Linked DNA regions of Caenorhabditis elegans. The protein of the gene in region 1 interacts with the protein of each later gene in a pairwise test. Each region holds a gene or a part of one and is shown in the gene's direction. Other genes may lie near its edges.

Evidence for each region. The genes of interacting proteins can lie anywhere in the genome.
Region 2: the proteins of hum-1 (region 1) and T20F5.6 interact in a two-hybrid assay, tested with the Caenorhabditis elegans proteins (one large-scale study listed by BioGRID).
Region 3: the proteins of hum-1 (region 1) and nos-3 interact in a two-hybrid assay, tested with the Caenorhabditis elegans proteins (one large-scale study listed by BioGRID).

The regions. Positions count from the first base shown.
Region 1 is NC_003279.8:8,845,300-8,853,088, reverse strand, and holds hum-1 (Unconventional myosin-Ie), read left to right. Parts: upstream 1-1,972; 5' UTR 1,973-1,993; coding exon 1,994-2,125; intron 2,126-2,236; coding exon 2,237-2,379; intron 2,380-2,433; coding exon 2,434-2,563; intron 2,564-2,610; coding exon 2,611-2,754; intron 2,755-2,803; coding exon 2,804-3,016; intron 3,017-3,105; coding exon 3,106-3,238; intron 3,239-3,284; coding exon 3,285-3,366; intron 3,367-3,411; coding exon 3,412-3,521; intron 3,522-3,568; coding exon 3,569-3,689; intron 3,690-3,802; coding exon 3,803-4,204; intron 4,205-4,267; coding exon 4,268-4,349; intron 4,350-4,395; coding exon 4,396-4,746; intron 4,747-4,794; coding exon 4,795-4,902; intron 4,903-4,953; coding exon 4,954-5,130; intron 5,131-5,179; coding exon 5,180-5,286; intron 5,287-5,334; coding exon 5,335-5,472; intron 5,473-5,527; coding exon 5,528-5,739; intron 5,740-6,449; coding exon 6,450-6,580; intron 6,581-6,630; coding exon 6,631-6,943; intron 6,944-6,993; and 3 more. Other genes in the region: F29D10.3 (PAN-3 domain-containing protein), read left to right, coding at 7,608-7,712.
Region 2 is NC_003279.8:3,919,685-3,927,018, reverse strand, and holds T20F5.6 (RING-type domain-containing protein), read left to right. Parts: upstream 1-1,856; 5' UTR 1,857-1,895; coding exon 1,896-1,965; intron 1,966-2,368; coding exon 2,369-2,668; intron 2,669-2,904; coding exon 2,905-3,093; intron 3,094-3,230; coding exon 3,231-3,321; intron 3,322-3,371; coding exon 3,372-3,444; intron 3,445-4,150; coding exon 4,151-4,363; intron 4,364-4,410; coding exon 4,411-4,563; intron 4,564-5,106; coding exon 5,107-6,331; intron 6,332-6,378; coding exon 6,379-6,449; 3' UTR 6,450-6,813; downstream 6,814-7,334. Other genes in the region: T20F5.7 (RING-type domain-containing protein), read left to right, coding at 1-426, 1,043-1,182; T20F5.5 (Flocculation protein FLO11-like), read left to right, coding at 6,847-6,920.
Region 3 is NC_003280.10:9,744,683-9,750,975, forward strand, and holds nos-3 (Nanos-type domain-containing protein), read left to right. Parts: upstream 1-1,633; 5' UTR 1,634-1,784; coding exon 1,785-1,821; intron 1,822-2,019; exon of another isoform or gene 2,020-2,034; coding exon 2,035-2,351; intron 2,352-2,496; coding exon 2,497-2,727; intron 2,728-2,862; coding exon 2,863-2,983; intron 2,984-3,027; coding exon 3,028-3,644; intron 3,645-3,742; coding exon 3,743-4,623; intron 4,624-4,670; coding exon 4,671-5,121; intron 5,122-5,166; coding exon 5,167-5,178; coding exon of another isoform or gene 5,179-5,188; 3' UTR 5,189-5,772; downstream 5,773-6,293. Other genes in the region: Y53C12B.1 (U3 small nucleolar RNA-associated protein 13 C-terminal domain-containing protein), read right to left, coding at 279-1,086, 1,234-1,385; Y53C12B.7 (uncharacterized protein), read right to left, coding at 5,829-6,000.

The DNA.
Region 1 (7,789 bases):
GCAAAAAAAGAAAAGAGAAGGACATGTCAGAACCGGACAGTTCGTCGCTTTTTTGTTTTAAAATTTCCGGAATAATTAGAATAATTTATGAGTCGGAGCTCATCAAATTAGGAACTCAGTAGTTGAAAATATTCCAACTAAAAATTGGTAGAATTATTTTTCAAGTTCTAGTACTACACCGAATTAAATAGAAATTTTCTTCTGTTCGAAAACACCCTTCTGAAAAAGAGTTGTTTATGATATTTGATATCTAATTTTATACCTAACTTTAAAAAAAAAAGTTATCACCAATTTGTTTCAATTTAAAAATACTAGAACACATACTCGTCCGTTTCTTCAACGATGAATCACCATCTACATCACTGCAACCTCCTCGATCCAAACACTCTCTTACTATTCACTTTTTCTTTTCTTTCTCTCCTTTTTATTTGTTGTATATTTCATCACTTTTTTCCATTTTTGTTCGTCATATACTCATGTTTCTCATCTCCTTGTGCCGTTTGGCACTCCCGAGACGTTTTCACTGATGAATGCAAAAAGTCATGGCTTTTGGTCTTTTCGAGTGAAATTCGACATTTTATTTTTTTCATTTTTCTCTGATAATGAAACAAAACTTTGATAATGACTCACTTTGCCTAGTTTTGATCAAAATTTTGATAAAATTGAAATTAGTGAGTTTTGTAGAAAATTGGCTTTCAATTTTTAAGTTTCGCGCTGTTTTCGTTAGGGCGCACTTGCACATTGCGATTTATCTTCCGTGGGCACGGTTTCTGAATTTATAGGCGGAGTTTTTTGTTGAATGCTTATTAATAACATATTTTATTATGACGAAAGTTTATATTTGTTTTTAAATATGAATTTATATAAACCAAATTTAGATTAATAGCTTAATGTAAAAGATTTCCTAAAAATAACTTTTCCATAAGATAAACTTCTCCGCAAGTTTGAAAGTCCTCTTAAAATTAATTTTAATTTTGTTTCATTTGAATTAGTTGTCTTTTGCAGCTGTTTGTCAGGATTTCATAACTTATTCAAAGATTTTTTTCTATTTTTCATCCGTCTAATGTTTTGCTCAAATCAAAATTCATAAATAAATATTCTAATATGTATCTTCAAGCCTCTTCCAATTTTTTCTGAAACTCACTAAATATATTAAACACTCCTTCCATGTTTCCTACACATTTCTGACACATCTAAAATCAAACAGATCAGAGATGTGGTCATCGTGAAATTGAAAATATGTTCCTCTTGCTTATGAGTCATCGTGTTGTGTTGACTGCCTACGTCTCTCGTTCTTCATGCATCTTTTGTTTTAGACTTTATACTAATAGTAAAAATTCTAGAATGCGTTTCATTAGACAGAAACTGTTTTCAAAAACACCTTTGAATTCTGTTAGAATAATTTTAAATTATTCAACACTCTATCCACAGCTTTTATGTTCAAACGAAACTTAACGGTGTCCATCTATGTCTCCGCGATTTCTGAAGGTCACACTCCAAGGTGGCAAGGATGTAAATGAAGACAGGCACAATTGGAAAGTGGTCACCTCCTTCTGTTCATCCTCCTTTCGTTCCAAAAAGTCAATCGTCTCACCTCAATTGGTCTGTCGCTTCTCAAATTCTCTACCCGTTTGACTTTTATTTAAAATTGTTTACTTCACTCTAAATTTTAATATTTTTCAATTTTAAATTGTCTTAAATCCGTTCTTAAAATTTTGGTTTTCATCGAGAAACTTTCATTCATCTCCTCTAGTTCATAATTCCTACTCATCAATCTTTTCATTTCGCTCGATGAATTCACTACCTTCTATTATAAACGAAATTACCGGATTACTCTCTCTCTTTTACTCTTCAACTGTAATAAAAAAGCGACAAGTTGGTCGAAAACGACATTTATAATCCCCTCTCCTGTTTCTTAGACTTTTTGTTTCCCATATTCCCCATTTCTCGGAATTATGTCTGTTTTTTTCAGTAAATACGCCGGTGGTTCATTATGGCGTTCCACTGGCAATCAAAAGTCAATGTTCAGCATGTCGGGGTCGATGACATGGTCCTTCTGCCAAAACTCACAGAGCAAAGTATCGTTGAAAATTTAAAGAAGAGGCTTCAAGCTAACAGTATTTTTGTAAGTTTAGAAGCTTTTCTATCAATTGTTATATTTTTTTGCTGGTTCAAGAAACTTAATCGCTAAAGTTAATTTTAAAGCCTAACCAATAATTAATGTTTCATATTTCAGACATATATTGGTCCTGTACTGATATCGGTAAATCCCTTCAAACAAATGCCATATTTTACGGAGAAAGAAATGCTTCTATATCAGGGAGCTGCTCAATATGAAAATGCGCCACATATCTATGCATTGGCTGATAACATGTACAGGTAAGATAGTTTTCAATGTAATGAAAAATGTTTTTAAAAAAGTTGAAAATTCAGAAATATGCTCATTGATAACGAGTCCCAATGTGTTATTATATCTGGAGAATCCGGTGCCGGTAAAACAGTCAACGCGAAGTTCATTATGAATTATATTTCTCGTATTTCGGGAGGAGGGCAGAAAGTTCAGGTAAATTTACTGATTAGAGGTATGATTTTGAAACTATGAATTTTCAGCACATCAAAGATGTTATTTTGCAATCAAATCCACTTCTCGAAGCTTTCGGAAACAGTGCAACAGTCCGTAACTGGAACAGTTCGAGATTTGGAAAATACGTAGAAATTGTGTTCAGTCGAGGTGGAGAACCTATTGGTGGAAAAGTAGGTTTTTAATAGTTTTTTTGCTAATTTTTCACAAACAATTTTTCAGCTTTCCAACTTTCTTTTGGAAAAGTCTCGAGTTGTTCATCAAAATGAAGGAGATCGAAACTTCCATGTTTTTTATCAATTATGCGCTGGCGCAGACAAGAACTTGAGAAGTACTTTCGGAATTGGAGAACTTCAATATTACAACTATTTAAATATGAGTGGAGTTTTCAAAGCAGACGATACGGACGATGGGAAGGAATTTGAGAGCACCCTGGTAAGATTTATGATCAGACAAATCGATTTTGTACAACAAGAACTCAGAAATTATTTTCCCCGTTTTATATAAAATATTATATTTTCCAGCACGCAATGAAAGTTGTCGGTGTTAATGATCAAGATCAATTAGAAGTTTTGCGAATTGTGGCAACTGTTCTCCATATCGGAAATATCACTTTCACCGAGGAGAATAATTTTGCTGCAGTTAGTGGAAAAGATTGTGAGTTACTGTTTTAAGATATATCACTTTACATTTAATTATTTAGATCTTGAATATCCTGCCTTCCTTCTGGGACTCACTAGTGCAGACATTGAGGCAAAGCTTACTGGTCGTAAAATGGAGAGCAAGTGAGCAGTTTCACATTAGTTTCAAATATTTCAATTTATTTTCAGATGGGGTACACAAAAGGAAGAAATCGATATGAAGCTTAACGTTGAGCAGGCGAGCTATACCAGAGACGCATGGGTTAAAGCAATTTACGCAAGATTATTCGATTATCTTGGTTAGCTTATTCATTTAAAATTTCTTTCCATGTATAAAAAATTACAGTAAAAAAAGTGAATGACGCAATGAATATCACTTCACAATCGACTTCAGACAACTTTTCTGTTGGAATTCTTGATATCTACGGTTTCGAAATTTTCAACAATAATGGATTTGAACAATTTTGGTAAGTTTAAGTTATTCTACTGAAATGATTGACCCAGTTTGTCTAAAAACCGAATTGTTCCTATTTTTGTTTTTGGAAAACCTTAATATTGATGAAATTAATACGAATTTCAGTATCAACTTTGTCAATGAAAAACTTCAACAAATCTTCATCGAATTAACGCTAAAAGCAGAACAGGAAGAATATGTTCGTGAAGGAATCAAATGGACAGAAATCGATTATTTCGATAACAAAATCGTGTGTGATCTGATTGAAACGAAGCGTCCACCTGGAATAATGAGCCTTCTTGATGATACATGTGCTCAAAATCATGGACAACGAGAAGGTGTCGATCGTCAATTGCTCACGACTCTTTCGAAATCATTTGCTGGACATCCCCATTTCGGCCCTGGCTCAGATTCATTCGTTATCAAACATTATGCTGGAGATGTTACATATAATGTAGATGGATTCTGTGATAGAAACAGAGATGTTCTTTATCCAGATCTTATTCTACTCATGCAAAAGTCTTCACGGTAAGGTTTTAATTTTCTAAATGTGTGTTTTGTTTTATTATTTCATTTGGTTTTTTTTTTCAGCCCATTCATTCAAGCTTTATTCCCTGAAAATGTAGCTGCGTCAGCTGGAAAACGACCAACAACATTCTCAACTAAGATTCGAGTATGTTTTAGTAATAAAATGTCAACATTTTTAATTTTAATTGCAGACTCAAGCTAATACTCTTGTGGAATCCCTGATGAAATGCTCACCTCATTACGTACGATGTATCAAGCCAAATGAAACAAAACGACCAAATGATTGGGAAGAGAGTCGAGTGAAGCATCAGGTTGAATATTTGGGTCTTCGTGAGAATATTCGAGTGAGAAGAGCTGGTTTTGCATATCGAAGAGCTTTCGACAAATTTGCCCAACGATATGCCATCGTCTCTCCTCAAACGTGGCCATGTTTCCAAGGAGATCAGCAAAGAGCTTGTGAGATAATCTGCGATTCAGTTCATATGGAAAAGAATCAGTATCAGATGGGAAAAACTAAGATATTTGTAAAGAATCCCGAATCGGTATGTTTTTCTAAATCAAAATATCGAAATGCAATAGATACATTCCAGCTGTTTTTATTGGAAGAGACTCGTGAACGCAAGTTTGATGGTTACGCAAGAGTCATTCAAAAAGCCTGGAGACAATTCTCGGCTAGAAAGCAGCACATTAAGCAAAAGGTAAAATCCAACAAAAATAAAAAATTGAATAAACATAAATTCTTATTTCAGGAGCAAGCTGCCGACCTCATGTATGGAAAAAAGGAACGCCGTCGCTACTCATTAAACCGAAACTTTGTCGGAGATTACATTGGATTAGAGCATCATCCGACACTTCAGTCCCTGGTTGGCAAGCGTCAGAGAGTGCTGTTTGCATGCACTGCTAACAAATATGATAGAAAGTTTAGGGTACGGTAAATTTGAGTTTAATTATTAGTCATCAATCGTTTATGTTTAGGTGACAAAACTTGATTTACTTTTGACTGTCAATCATTTGACTCTTATTGGAAAAGAAAAAGTGAAGAATGGTCCCGAAAAGGGGAAGATCGTTGAAGTTATCAAAAGGTATGATTTTTCCATTTTATTAAGATTAGTTTAAAATTAAAATTTCAGACAATTTGATCTACCTCAAATCAAATCAATTGGTCTATCTCCATATCAAGACGATTTTGTGATATTATATCTGGGAAACGATGATTATTCTTCTCTTCTCGAAACACCATTCAAAACTGAATTCTGTACAGCTCTCTCGTAAGCGCATTATATTGATTTGACTAATTCAAAGTTACGTATTCTTCAATTTTAGAAAAGCATATAAAGAACGAACAAACGGTACTCTTCATCTCGATTTCCGTAGTTCTCATGTTGTTAGTTACAAAAAGATGAAATTCGATTTCTCCGATGGAAAACGAACGGTTCAGTTTGGAAACGATGGAACTTCGTCTGCAGAGAAGACATTGAAACCAAATGGAAAAGTTTTGAATGTTAGCATTGGTACTGGATTACCGAATACTACAAGTGAGTCGAGAATGTTTGAAAAAATTATCTTAATTGTAACTAATCAGAACAAAAAACTTATTAAAGATGGATCAATGTGGAAATTGCTTTAAAACTTGCCTATAGCACCACAATCAAGGCTGGGACCAAAAAAATTTTAATTTGTGAAAAAACAAAAAAAAAGTCGACTTTTGGTATATTTTGAACTTTTTAGAAAAAAATCATTGAAAACCATTAAGGAACACATTTTGCTTTAAAAAATTGTAAATCCCAAAATACCCCAAAATACCCCAAAATACTCAAAATACCAACAAAAAAACCAAAAAAAGCCCTGACCACAATGACCAAATATCATAGTAAAAAGTTCAAAAAATGTTTTAATTTTCATGATTTTTTGAAATTTGAAAAAGTCTCAGTTTTTCCACTTTGTTGGAAGTCGTCGATCAAAAAATGTTATCCTGTTAATTTGACGGTCGTATGTTTTAAACATTACTATTCAAACATTGTAGGGATGCGACAGTGATATAGTTTTCTCAAAAAGTGGCAAAAACTCGGTTATTGTCACTTTTTGACTTTCAATTTTTTCTTTTGAAAAGTTTTCCTATGATATTTGGTTATTTTGGAACCATGTTTAACTATTTCCAAACTGGCGCTACTCCACCTTTGTAACTGTAGTGGCGTGTAACTTCTTTAAATAATATAGAAGTTACGAATAAAATTTGAATCTTCAGGGCCATCAACTGAACGTCCACAAGGTGGGTACACCCCGCGAAGAGATCAATTGAGAACATCAACACGACGAACGAAACAGAATAATCAAAGTTATGGACAAAATGGCCAATCTCAGGCAATGAGAGCTCCGGTAAGATTTTCAAAATTAATTCCATTGTAATTTAGATTTTCAAATTTCAGGTTCCCGCTCATGGAATGAATAACAATTACAATCAGACACCAGCTCCAGTATCGACTAATCATCAATATAGCCAAGAACCTGCGCGAATTCCAGTGATGGGAAACGTCATAAATCAGTTGAATAACATGAATCTATCTGGAAACGGAAACTCTCCAGCTGGACGAGGACCTCCGCCAGCGCGTGGACCAAAACCTCCTCCACCAGCAAAGCCAAAGCTTAATCCTGTCGTTATTGCTGTCTATCCATATGAAGCTCAAGATGTTGATGAGCTCAGCTTTGAAGCTGGAGCTGAAATTGAACTCATGAACAAAGGTTTGTCATAACTATAAGAATACTATTTTTTTAAATATTTGTGATTTCAGATGCTTCTGGATGGTGGCAAGGAAAAGTGAACAATCGAGTTGGTCTTTTCCCCGGAAATTATGTCAAAGAATAATTTCATTTTTTATTGCACGATCTCCCCCTCATTTCCCCAATATCTGTGAAATGCCTGTTTGTGAACATTGATTACGAGTTGTACTATATTTCTTTAAATATTTTATATTAGCATCCTTTACTCATCAAATACTTACTTCTGTTTATAAACCACAATGGTGTAATTTCATGTTAAATTGTTACTATATTGTTTAAAATAAATCGGAAGACTACTTTTTTCTCGTCAAGTATTTCTACAAGAAAAGTATACACACCAGGGATGGATCAATAAAACTATTTTCAAATTTAGGTTTTGGATCAGTTCACAAAACTTGCTACCATATATCCTACTTTTTATGCACGGAATATATATTTACATACAAACTTTCATGTTTTACGAGCTCGATAATAACAAATACAGAATCTTAGACCTTATGCAACGTTTTCGATGAAAACTTTACGAACATTTTTTTCAATTCACCTCCAAACCGAAAATTCATTAAAAATGTTTTTGTTTCTATTAATCTTCGTGCTTCCTCGGCTCATTACTGCTAATTTGAAGATGATGGTAGTATACGGTGAAACAGATGAATACAATAATCACTCAGAAATTCAAGAAAATTGGGACAATTGTCTGGTAAAATGCTACTGGGATGACGATTGTTTAGTGAGTTATTGTATTGGATTAAGGTTTGGTACGGTATACATGAAATTTTTCAAGAAAAAAAAACGTTCCATGTTCTT
Region 2 (7,334 bases), 4.9 Mb from region 1:
TCACTCTCAAAATGGCTCGAAGTAACCGAATGGAGATTCATGTTGCATCGAAAAAAGATCTTGAAGGACCTGAATTGTATCTTCGTAAGGATTCCGAAGGAAATACTCATATTGTTGTTGCTGGACTGACGGGATCACCAGCAGAAGTTATGAAGTTTATTACTGAAAATGGAATTAGTATTGAGACGGGAGTTCTGATGCCACAAGTTGTGTATGATGAGGGTCGCACACGTGGCGGGACTGAAAAGTTTGCGAAGGTTAACAGCATGGCAGCTGGTCAATCTGCTATCAAGTGCACAAAGCCACCGGTTAAACTCGAAGAGCTGGAGTTTCATAAGACATTTGAGCTGAAAGTAAGCGAGGAATCTGGATCACTTAAGATGGAGCTGGTGCAGAAAGAAGAAGTTCCGAAGAATGGATTTGGAGGTTGGTATAGTTTTTTAAGACTGAGCCTCAAGGGCGGTGTCGTCGAAAAATAGTAGAATATCGAAAAACAAACATTTTCGATTAAAAAATTCCAGATTTTAGATTGTTCGAAAAATAGCTTTTTAGAAGAAAATCACATTTTTTTTCTTCCTTTTTTTTTGAAAAATCAAAAAAAAAATTGTTTAGAAGTTAAAAAACAATTAAAATTTTTAAATCAAATTTTTAAAAAAGTCGAATTTTTTTCTAAATTTTTCAAAGCTATTTTCCAAAAATTCGCCACAAAAAGCGAAAAAAATATGCAAAAAGAACGGAAAAATTGACCAATCAGCTTTCATTTTAGCTGAAATTAACCCTTTTTCGAAATTTTTATCCGCTATTAAAATGTTTGAGATTTTTAGTTGAAAACTTTTGCTATAAAATTAGCCATTTTCGGGTTAATATTTAAAAAAATGCCGAAACATTTTATTCGAAAAAAAAATTAAAAAATGTAATCCTTCGAAGGGCTTCTGAAAATATTATTTTTCTTTAAAAACATCTAATTTTATTTTCCCAAAAAAAAAATCGAAAAATCCCCCTTTAAATCTATATTTTCAATTTGAAAAAATCAATATTTCAGTGTTCGAAGGATGTATGACAAAACCATCTGCAAAACGTCTCAAAGAGTTTACCGACAGTTGTCCAGGCACTTCAGCCGAAGATGAAGTCCAAGTTATCGAGCCGGAGCCACTTCCAAAGCGTCGCCGTACGAGAAAATAGAATAACCTTCTCGAAGAGATGACTAGAAAATAAATATTCGGGCTTTTCATAATTCTCATCCGCTATTAGTTCTCAAAATTAGAAGTTTTAACCTCATACAAAATGATCTGCATGAAAATATTTCACATTTTATATTAAGTTTCTTTTCTCCTCCACACATTCTTGGTCTCTCCCACCTCCTCCCCGTCCCCCCTCAGCTCTTTCTTTTATCCTGATTAATTTGAATGTTTTTTTGATTCCACGTGTTCTCTTCCGTATCATTTTTCTATTTTTATTTATTACTGTTCCATTCCCCAAATGTTTTTTTCTCGTTTCGTTTCGTTTTCGTGCTCTTTTATTTATTGCTCGAATATTCGAATCGGATAGTCTTTGAGAACCCAATTTTATAAATGCATTCATTTACCTTTTTTTAAATTTATTTTCTGGTTTCTCACGTATTCTGTCGTGACTCCGTTATATTTGTATTCACTACTGTATCAGAATTCTAGGTAAATTTGCCTTTTTTCGATGTTTATAAAAATGAGTCGGCATTAGTACTGTGATTTTAAAGGTACATGACGAAAAACGACCACAAACTTTTACTCCGCTGCGAAACCATTTCGCACAAGCGTGTCCGCTCCCTTTAATGTCCTACTGATTTTCTTTTGAAATTACATTTCTTTCAAGTTTTTCAGAGTTATTTCCTTCAAAAATACACCGTTTTAATTTCTCAAATGGATCCGTTCGACATTGATGGTTTGAATGTTCGACTCCGTGACCTGCAAAGACAATTGCAAGACGACAGTAAGTTACTGAATACGAAAAATTTTGAAATTCAGTTTCCAGCGATCAATACCTGTTGCGCCACGTTGTTGCAACATTTTTCACTTAAAATAAGTGTCAAAATATGGAAAATCTCTCAATTTATCTGAAAATAACCTTTATTTCAGCTGAAGCATTTGAGAAAGTGCTTAAAAATGGCCTGAAAGGTGTCAATTGTCGATTATCGAATTATAAAACTTGAGCTTCATTTTTCCACACGTTTTCGAATGTTCAGGTGTTATTTTCAATTACATCAAGTGATTTTCTATTTTAACGCTATTTTTAATGAAAAATGTTAAAATAATAATAGTGCAATAGGTAATTTTGTAGAATTGCCTCCCACTCGTCCTTTATTTTAATCAATAAATAATATTTTTTATTGCAGTGGAAGAGTTCCGAGATATGGCCCAGATGGACGATTTTGCTCATCCGTTTGGAGGAATAGATGCAGCTATCAACGTCGATGATCCAGTAGATGATGCAAATAACGATGAGCCAGCAGCTGGAGCTGAAAATGTTTTAGACCGGGAAGATAATCAACCTCAGCCGGAAGCAGTTGCCACGCCTGACGTTCCGAAGGCAGAAAATGAAAAAGAAAAGGAGGATGAGGCGGACGATACAATTTTAACGTCGAAGGGCACCGAAATGAAAGGATTGTCGTGCGGAATCTGTTATGACCCGTTTAGTTAGTAGTTATTTGTTGAAAAACATTTAAAATTAGCCTTGACTTCAGAAAAACCAGAAAAAAAACGGTAGAAATCGCAGAAGAATGAAAAATTCAATTTTGCCTCAATTTGGAGCAAATTTGGTCAAAATTGAAAAAATCGTAAATTTTGTTTTATGGTTTTTCTAATTTTAAGTCGATTTTTAAATTTTATTAAATTAAAATCCCTTTAATCCCGCTAAAATGTAAATTTTCAGACACCGGCAAGCGTATTCCAAAAGTGTTTCCATGCGGTCACACGATTTGTCTCCAATGTATCAAAAAACTTCTCAACACCAGAACTTTTCTCGGCGGAAACACAGTCATCTGTCCATCGTGCCGACAAAATACTCGCTACAGCTTAACCACCCCGGCCGATAAGATTCCAACTAATTTCTGCATTCAATGTGAGATTTTATTTTAAAATTTGGCTTCAAAAATCGAAAGTAGTTCTGAAAAACGAAAAAAGTTGGAATTTGAGACTATTTTGAAATTTTTTGAAGCCAAATCCCTTAAAAAAAACAAAAAATCGATTTTTTTTCAGCATTGTTAGAGCAAAGACAGCAGGAGAAATCAACAAAAGAGCCGGAAGCTGTGAAATGTACCGAGTGTCACACGACAGTGAGCGCTATTGAGTAAGATTCTTTGAAAAAAATCGGTTTTTAATTTATATGAAAAATTTCAGAGCTACAACATGCTCAGACGAAACGTGCCAGAAAGAGATTTCCGAGGAAGAATTGAAGAATGTAGACAAAATTGTAAGTTTATATTTAACGGAGGCTTATGATGTTAAAAACGTTTAAATTATAGAAAAACATAGAAATTTTCTGAATTTTTATGGTTTTTAGAAAAAATTTTGCAAAAAAAAATTCTGAATGGCTGAATTATTTTTGAATTCCTCAGAAAATGGCCTTTGGTTTTTTTTTCCATTAAAAAAATAATTTGTAATTTTTGAGATATTTTTTGGTAAAAAACTTGATATCCGGAAATAAATAGCCAAAAAAAAAATCGAAAATTGAACATTAATTCAAATTTTTTCGCGGAAAAATGCCACAAATGGCGTATATCTAGAAAACGCAAAAAATATATACGTTCAGGTCATTCTTGAGCACTTCCTCCAATGCTTCAGCAGAAATAAATATTATTTTCAGATAAATCAAGTGATTTTCTACATTTTGACACTAATTTTCAATTTAAAAAAAATCTGGGACCAAAAGTGTTTTTCCTTTTTTTTTCAGAGAAAATCGAAAAATTTGAAAAAAATAATAATAAAACCTTCAGGAAATGACCCTTAAAATTCAACTTTTTTGATCAAATTGTGTTTACTTATGTTGCTGAAAAAACATAAAAAGGCATATAACTGTTTTTCTAAAAAACAAGAAAAATCACCCAAATTCTAAGATATTTTTCGAAATATCGGAAAATCGAAAAACCCCTAAATTTTCTCTATTCCATTATTTCCAGAAACGTCCGAAGGAAACCCTCATTTGTCGTTCGTGTATCGAAACGAATCACTCTACCCACATCTTCGTCTCATTTAGCAATGTGGCTGCTCAATATGAAGCGAATAAGAAGATTCTTCTAGCTGAATCATTGCTCAAAAAGAAGCTAAAAGCTGTTGATGAGGCGCTTTTAGCGTTTGACAAGACGAAAGCTGAAGCAATTGATCATCGACGAGTTAGTTTTGATATTAATTCTCCAAACGAAATAATTTATTTTTTCAGAGAATGGCAAATGCATTGGTGAATATTAGAAAGGAAGCAGATCACCCGGATTTCTACGAAAGCTTGAATAGATTTATGAGTTCTATGAAATCATCTGGAGAGTTGTTCAAGACGTTGAGCAGCGATTTGGATAAATTTGAAAATTCCTCAAAGGTATCCTTATCAAATCATCTTATTATCAGGGATATTGCAATAAAAATTTAGACCAAAAACCAACAAAAAATTGTCGAATTTTTCATCATACCAACTGAAACATAACATTTTTGGAATTTATTTTTTTGCCAAAAAACCATAAAGCGAAAGCCCTGCTTATTATACTGTTGCAAAAATCAGCGTCGCATAGAAAGAAAGGCGGGGTGTAATTTTGCAACCCTGCGGCACGGTTTTTCTCCCTTACACTGATTTTTGTTTAAAATAATTTTTGTTATGAAAATATTATTGTGAAGATATTTCATACCAAATTGGTTGTGAAAACATGGAATATCCTCACAATCTTATGAGAATTAATTTGGAATATTTTTGCATTCGAAGAAAGAAAATAAAACAAGTTTAATCGAAATTTTATTGAAAAAAAAAGAGAAAAAACCGGCCGCAGTGTTGCGAAAAAAGCCCCACCTCTCTTTCTGTGCGACGCTGTTTTTCGCAAATTCAGGGATCGGTCATTTAATTTCAACAATAGTAATAATTATCTTTCAGGCTCGCTACCATCGCTCGTTCGGTCGTGATGTTCTCCGTCCAAGTGCTTTTCCACAAGAGACGGATGGTTCCAAACAAGAAGTGAAGCAAGCACCCGCCCCTGTACCAGTTCCTCCGGCACGACCAAGACCTGGCCCAGCTCTCAATCGTGAGAGATTCCGAAGACTTGGAGCAGTTGGTGGTTTTGTGGTGCCAATTGTTGGACGGGATGCAAATGCTCCTGGAGGAGTTCGACATTTGGCGAATGAAATCGACGAATTCTTAGCACCAAACGATCAGGGCCTAGCGGCTCATTTTCGACGAATCTTTGGAGATCTTCCGGACGATGATATTGCTATTGATGTTCAGATTGCTGCTGCTGCTCCAGCTGGCGATGCTCCCGCTGCTGGTGGTGGTGATGATGCTGTAGATGGTGCTGGTGATTTTCTTGGGCCTGCTGCGGATCTTCGTTTAGCTGGTGCTGCTGGGGCTCCACTGAATATTGCTGATCGTATGTATCGAAGACATCGAATTGCTGCTCGAGCGCAGTTGGCTGCTCCTCGCCGTGCCAATCGTAATGGAAACAATGTTCGAGATCTTCGAATGGTTCGTCACCACATTTTCCGTGCCATTGCTCAGAATCCGGGATTGCACAGGAACGATGCGATTCAACAGGCTATTGACGGTTTACGAGATTATATTTGGAATCTCGAAGGTCCGTACGCAAGAAATCCTTTTGAATTGGATCAAATTGATATGAGACGTGATTTGGATAATGCACAACAAAGATTGAATCAGTTGGGTGCCAGGCTTCAAGAACTTGAAGGAAATCTTCGAGCAAGAGACGATCCAGCTCAGGATGCTCCATGGCATGATGTAGTTGTCCAAGAACCTCTCAATCCGCTCCCACCAATTCAAGGAATCGAGCAAGAAGTTGCAGATAGAGCTGAGATAGCAGAACTTGTCAATCGAATCATGGGAATGGTTCGCAACGAGGCAGAAGCCGAAGCGAATGCAAATGGACAGCGTGCACCGAAAAACATTGAGATGCCTGCACTACTCAATCCAGACGCCAATCCAGATGCTCCAAACTTCAAAAACTTGCAGCCATTGCAAGTTCAACCATATCTTCGTGACTTGAGAGCTTTAGAGCTTGAATGGATTCAGAAGGCGCAAGACAGAAGAGCTCGCGGCGGTGCTCAACCACCTGTAGAAGATGTGGAGCAGAATCCTGTGGTGGAAGGAGGTTAGTAATAGATTCATTTTAAACTTTTAAATATTTCATGTTTTCAGGCACAGACGCCCAACGCCGCGCCGTGTCGCCTACCCAAGACGAGCCTGCTGCAAAGAGAAATCGTCAGTAAACTGGTCTTATTAATTATTCTTTTTCAAGTCAATCTTAAATATTTTATTTATGTTTTTTCTTCTGTAACTCCCCCCTCCCAATTCCTGTCATCATTATCATTATCACCAGTGGGATTGTACCCTTTTTCTATTCTCGTGATCGTATCTCATGTTCATTCCGACTACAGCTTTTATATTTCCAATACTATTTGTGAATTCTAAATAGTTTAATTTGTTCTCTTCTGTATCCGCTTATCATCAATTCAATTTTATTTAGAAATAATTTCAATGAGTGTTTAAAAAACGCGTGAACCCTTTAAAAAAGAATCTCCCACTAGTTCCACAGATCGTGGAAATAATCAGTTCTCAATAAGAAGTTTCTTTATTTTGTCAAAACGTTCAATTATCATCGGCAAAATGAACAAGACACTCGTTTCGACGACGACTGCCAGCAATACTACGATAAATAGTGCTGATTTGAGGAAAGAACTGTGAGTACTGAGAGAATTGAGTTTTCAGATTTTATTCGAGCAATAAAGCTCACAGTAACGTTATTGCGCAATTCTCTGTAACGCGGACTTAAAGGCGCGGGGACATGCTCGTAAGGGTCTCGCCGCGAAAAATTTGAATTGTACTTAAGCCGTGCTTTTTCATTTATCTTTTTTCTCGTATGATTTAAAACCTGCGAAATTTATTATGGGGACGCAGAAAAATGCCCCTTTTGAAATAACGCGCCCTACTGCCAATTGAAAACGCTCCGCCCGCAAACCATCGTTGGGTATTTGGCGGTATAACCGTTAATTCAATCAGCTTCAATGAACTTCTTTTTTAAAAGAATTTTATGCCGAAGTTGGCGAAATAAATAGCATTTTTAAAAGTTAATTTCGGCATAAAAGACAAAACCG
Region 3 (6,293 bases), on another chromosome or scaffold:
AAGGTTCTTAAATCCAATTATTACTATTCGTAGAAATATTACTTGGCAATTTGAGAGCATATTAAAAGTGGTAATATTCAAAGAAAAAATTATTAAAAAAATGATAAAATCAAATATTTTCGTTTTTCGGTGTTTTTTTACGAATTTTGTATAAAAGATTTACATTCGAAAAATTATACATTAAAGCAACTTGATATGACAAAAATGATATCAACAAATGGTTTTCAATTCCAATTTGCAATCATTGTTTTTCTTTCAAGGTCAACTATAAAACTCACTTCGTCATGGAATCCAACAATTTGTCTTGCAATTTTCAGATTTTCAAAATCCAAAATTATAAGATTTTGTTCGGCGGAAATTGCCAAAAAGCGATTAGAAACAACATCGTAGGCCAAGTGATCGAGATTCGAGCTGGCAATCCTTTTCTTTCTGACCAACTTCGCAGTTTCAATCACAAATTCCTTAACAACACCCTCTTCTCCAACAGTGAAAAGATTTCCGTTATGTCCGATTGCTCCGCCTTCAATTGATTCGTAGAGTGGAAGAACTCGGAGTGTTTCTTGAGTTTCTGTTTCATGAATACTCATCGTCTGATCTCGCGAAAGAGCCACAACAACTCGTGAATCCGGAACTTGAAGCAGTGCGGTAATATGAGAATTATGACTTTTCCATGTGTTTACAAGTTTTTTCGGAGCACCTCTCATTATATTATAGAGGTTCAATTGTCCTTCAATGTATCCAACGACAAGCTTTTCATGTTTTCCGAACAGAATTGCTGAAACTACCGAGGGTCCTTTTAATGTGTGTGTACATTGTTGCTCTGTCAGATTCCAGACTTTCACGATGTGATCGGCACTTCCAGTCGCCAGTAAATGGCCCTCCTCATTGAATTCCATAACGAGAATAGGAGCAGTGTGTATGGTTTTCCATGTTCTGGCCAACTCTGGTTTAGTTGTCGACGGATCCAAAGGAATTGAGTATTCACGAATTATTTGATTGTTATAGGCGACCAAAAGGCGATTTCTGTTCTTGTCGACAGCTGTGCACGTAATGCGTAGCTCATCTTCAGGGTCGCCGATGGTATAGCTGCAAAAGATTTGATGCATTTCAAATTTAATTTATTTTATTAAACTTCAAAATTATTCATATTCAATTTTTCAAATAATCATAATCAATCTACTTCTAGTTTTGTGGGTGAAACTTGTTTTAAAGTTCTGTCGCAACATCACATACCTTGCAGTATTGTCAGCCAGATCAATCACTTTCACAACATTTGTGCATGTAGAAAAAAGTTTCTGACCATTTGCACTCCATCTGACAGTTCCTCCGGTGTAAACTGCTTCGACACTTCTTTTCGCGGCAATTTCCTTGATAGGTTCAGTCATTTCACCTTAAAATGTTTTAGTAACGCAGTTATTTGAGGGATCAAGAGTTAAAAATAAGAATAACATAATTTAAACTGTAAAGGTTGATGAAAAGAATAGAAAATAGGTGAAATTTACTTAAAATCTATCAAATGATCTAAAAAAACGACTCCGTAAATCGACACTAATGCCGAAACAAGTGTCACCGTACTTATTCGCTGCGAGACCCACTTCCCGTTTAATTCTACGCGCCTTTAAGTGCCCACCCATTTCGGCATTTTATCGATGAATTTATTAGCGTTCGCCGACGCTTTTTATAGATTTCTAACCTTTTTGTTCTCTTATTACCTTGCCGCCTTCAAATAAGAGTTATCTTAAACTAGTAACATTATCATTTTGCAATATAAACTCTGGAAAAATATGCAATTATTACATTTCTACACACAAAGTGTTCCGAGTATGTTTTTTTCTGTTATTTCCACTCAACTGAGAACTAAAAACTAGTTTTACCAAAATCACATGTTCCTTTTTCAATTTCTCATTTTCTTTGATACTCTTTGCCAATTGAGCTCCTTATTTTTGAAAACATAGATTCCGATAAAATTTTGCTGATTCTCTTTTTCTAAACATATTGCATATTTTAAAACACTTCGATAGTCAACATTTACAGTCAACGTTCACTTGGTAATGTCTGGACAGCAGTTCCAGCAACATTCACAGCAGCAACAACAACGTGCCCCAACCGTCTATAATAATAACAACAAGAAAAACGGCGGCAGCGCTGCAAACTCAAACCAAAACAACAACAACCCCCATCATACCTCAACGACTGATTCGGTGCCGAACTCGACTGCCAACGTGTCGTCAGCAATTTCGTTTGAGTATTCAGAGCCGCCAGGAAACACCACTAGGACAACACCAGATTCTGGGCTAGGGACTGACGACCAAAAGGGCACACCTCAACAGACACGTGCTCCGCCAGGATTTGTAAGTAGGAAACTATTGAAAATCCTATCGAAAAAAGATAAGTCAGAAAAAGAACACTTTTGAGGTGCGCAAGGTTTTAAGAGAATTGAGAGATTTTTCAAATCAGTGAAATATCAAACATGTAATTTATCTCATTCATTTTCAGCATCGAGCAGCTTATCATCGGAACAGCGGTCAACAGCAATTCTCTCAAATGCGCCCACAGCCGCCACATACTGGACCACCAAATGGTATGACATATTACGGAGGAACCGTCGGCGCGCCCGGCTATCAGCAACAACAACCACCACCACAAGAAGGATATGATCAACAGCAGCAGTTTGGAGGTGGATCCGATGGTGGACAATACCAAAGAGGACCACCAGGAGGCTATCGGGTATGGAGAATTACGGGCTCCTCAATTATTTCTAGCTCATAATAATTTTTTAATGAGCGTTATGATTTGGAAATTATATCTACAGGAAAATAATGAGAAGAGTTGATAGACATTTTGCAAATTCTTTATTTTCAGCAGTATCAACAAATGGAAAGCGGTGGTCCGCCAAGTGGATACGCGGATGACAACAACGGTGGAAACAATAATTTTGTCATTCATGGCCCCAACGATAATTTCGATGGTCGGCCACAATATAGTTGGTGCAAACTTACTGTGTTCTGTTCAAAAGCATAATTTTAGATCCTCAAGCAGGGCCACCACCACAAAATCAGCAGCAAATGATGAACAGTGGCAACTATGAAATTGATCAGTACCGTGGACAAGGACCTCCTCCAGGAAATACCTATCAACAGCAGGGACATAGTGGACAAGCTCAATATTATGCTGGACCAGTAATCCAGCAACGGCCACCACCGCCACACAATGCTCAATCTTATGGACAGTATAGGGGTCCACAAGGCCCGCAAGGCCAAATTATTCAAATGATGCCTCACAATCCACAGAATCAACAGCAGCAGCAACAACATCCAATGCTGTATCCAATGGTGTATGTTCCTGTGCCAGCACCACGAGTGTTCCGGCAAGAGCCAGCTGGTGGAGCTAGCAGTTTGGAAAAAGACGGAGGAAATGCTCGCAAAAGTAAACGAAACAGTCAAAATGAGGACGATGGTCAGCAACATCAACATCAGAATGAACAACAACCTCAACAAGGCTACCATCAACAGGATTTTGTATCGAACCCACTCTGGAATCAGATGCCTGTCGGTTACGCTCCACCAGGAAACTTCACGCAGCCTCAGCAACAACATCAACAAATGGATCAACAACAAGCCGTCCAAATGCAACATCAGATGCAGGTACAACTTTAAAAAAATTAGGGGAAGATTTTATATTATATTTTGACAATTTCACAGAGTTACACTTTTTTTAAAAAGAACAAACAACAATTCCTCAGATGTTTCAGCAAATGCAACCATACGGAATGCCACAAGGAGGCCCACCACCACCTCATGCTGCTGCTTCTATGATGAATCATCCCCATCAGCAAAATCATCCTCATATGAATGCACAAATGACCCAACAACAGCATCCAGGACAATATCTACCGCAACAATATATGCAAATGGTTCCGCCGCCTCACCATCAAATGCAACAAATGCAACAGCAAGGTAGACGTCCAGGAGGTGTTGAGCCGCTCATGGGAGGCCCGCCGTATCAAATGAGTGGACAAATTAATCAAATGGGAGGACCAATACGTGGAGGTTTTGGAATGCAACAGCAACAGCCGATGGGCTACTTCAATTCTGGAAGAGGTGGAAATGCTGGATCAGGAAGAGGAAGAGGTGGTTCACGAGGTCACGGATACCAACATTCTCGTCAAAATTCTAATCAAAGCTACAATTCTTCTCAAAGTTATCCACAAAATCGAGGAAATTTTGATTCATCAAGTCAATATCAATCCGACAGTCAACAAGTGGATGAATCAGTTACACAGCTTACCAATAGAATTGAACATCTTCAACCAGTTAGCTCACGTGCAGGATCACCAAGTAAACAGATCCTTCAGTTAGTCGAATCGAAAGATGATCAAACTTCGACTGAAAATTCTGAATCACCAAGTCGGTCAAGCACTCCTAAACATCGGAAGAAGACCCCAAAGAAAGATTTTAAAGTTGATCAAGAAGCATCTATCGAAGCGACAAAAACTGAAATAAGCGAGGAAAATCCGAAAACGGATGATATTCAGTCTAAAGATGATGTTACTTCGAAATCTGAACTACACTGTTATCGATGTGAACATTACCAGTTGCCTGCTGAAGAAGTGTCTTCCCATAAGTAAGATTAAAAATTCTAATTTATAAAAATTAAAAATTTAATTTCAGTATTCGCAAGGATAATGGTGATTTGTGGTGTGAGCATATGAAAAAGATCAAATGCGGGCATTGTGAGGCGACTGGAGAACAAGGTCATCACCCTCTAATTTGTCCAAAAAAGAAAGAAGAAGAACGTGTGGCAAAATCTCGAGAGTCTTCGCAGAAGCCGATCGATCCGCAGGAAATAAGTGATGATCAGGATGATACTGTACCGGATGTTCCCGATCAAATAGTCGAACAAGACAATCAGTCACATAAATCTCGTCACAATTCAGAAAATCGCAGTGGCGGTAGAGGATACGGTCAGAACTATAGCCATAGTTATGGCGGAAATTCTACTGGTAGCTATCGTGGACGATCGTCTGGAGGAAGTGGAGGCAGTGGACGTGGTGGTGGTCGTGGAGGTTACTCACGTGGACATGGTGGAGGATCAGGAGGAGGACAACGTGGAAACTATCAGGTTTGTATTTTAATAAATTGAAAAAAAAAACTAATTCCCATCAAGTTTCCAGAATAAACGTAAGTAAAATCGTTGGATTTTGATTGGCACCGATGTCCAACGACAACAAAAACTTCCTCCGATTTTCAAGAATCTTTCAAATATCCCGCTCGCCCAAACAAAATTCACTTCGATCTCTATTCATTCCATCCCATGCTAATACCACCATCCCACCGAATTCCAACTGCGAAAGCTTTAAAAGAAACCCCCTCATGTCTATCCCGATTTGTTGTTGAAACGTTTTGTTGTTTTTCTTTTCTTTTTTGTTGTTTTTTTTGCTAAAGAATTCCCCCAATCCTACAAGGATTCCGTAACTCGAGTTCCATCCTTTGGTCTGTTCGAATTCAATTCGTCATCCCTTTTCTGTCATGATTTTGTTGAAAATTGAAATTTTTGGCAGAAAATCCTGATTTTTTAAAATTGTGTCACCGTTCTTTCTTTCTTATACTATCTCCCTTCTCCCCCACTTTCTAAAGTATCTCTATAATCCCGCCCGTTTTCCTCTTTTTCTCTATCCCCTTTCTCTTCCCCATCAAACAATGCATAATACTGATGATGTTGGTTCGAAAAACGATCTTCAAATATTTATGTTTCCGATAAATCTCAAAATTCAAACAGAAGTGTCCCGTATTGTTGTTGTTGATCAATTAGAGAAAACAAGAACATCTTCATCCACTCCATCCACTTCGCCTTCTCCGTTTTTTAGCGATGCCACCGATTTCCTTGGCCCATTTGAGGATTTTGTGTTCACGCGCCAACGCTTTCAGCTTCTGATGATGTGACGAAGATTCTGCAGACGTGGCAAAGTGTTCGTGGTAAGGCAGCAATGGAATTGGAACACTGAAATCCACTTTTATTAATATTTTTCATCACCAAGACGTGAAGTTTTTCAATTTTTGTGCAAAAAATACAGCACCAGGTCTCGTCACGACAATTGTTTGTAAAATACATGCGGGTGGGCGCCTTTAAAGGTTACTGTATTCTCAAAACTTCGGTACTGTGAAATTTTAATTGTTTTCCAACAGTTTTTCTTACGATTTGCTAAAATTTACTTATTCTATTTTAGTGTTTAATAATAAATAAATAAGTTTTAAATAAAAAACTAGGAAAAATCGATGAAAACTCCGCGCAGC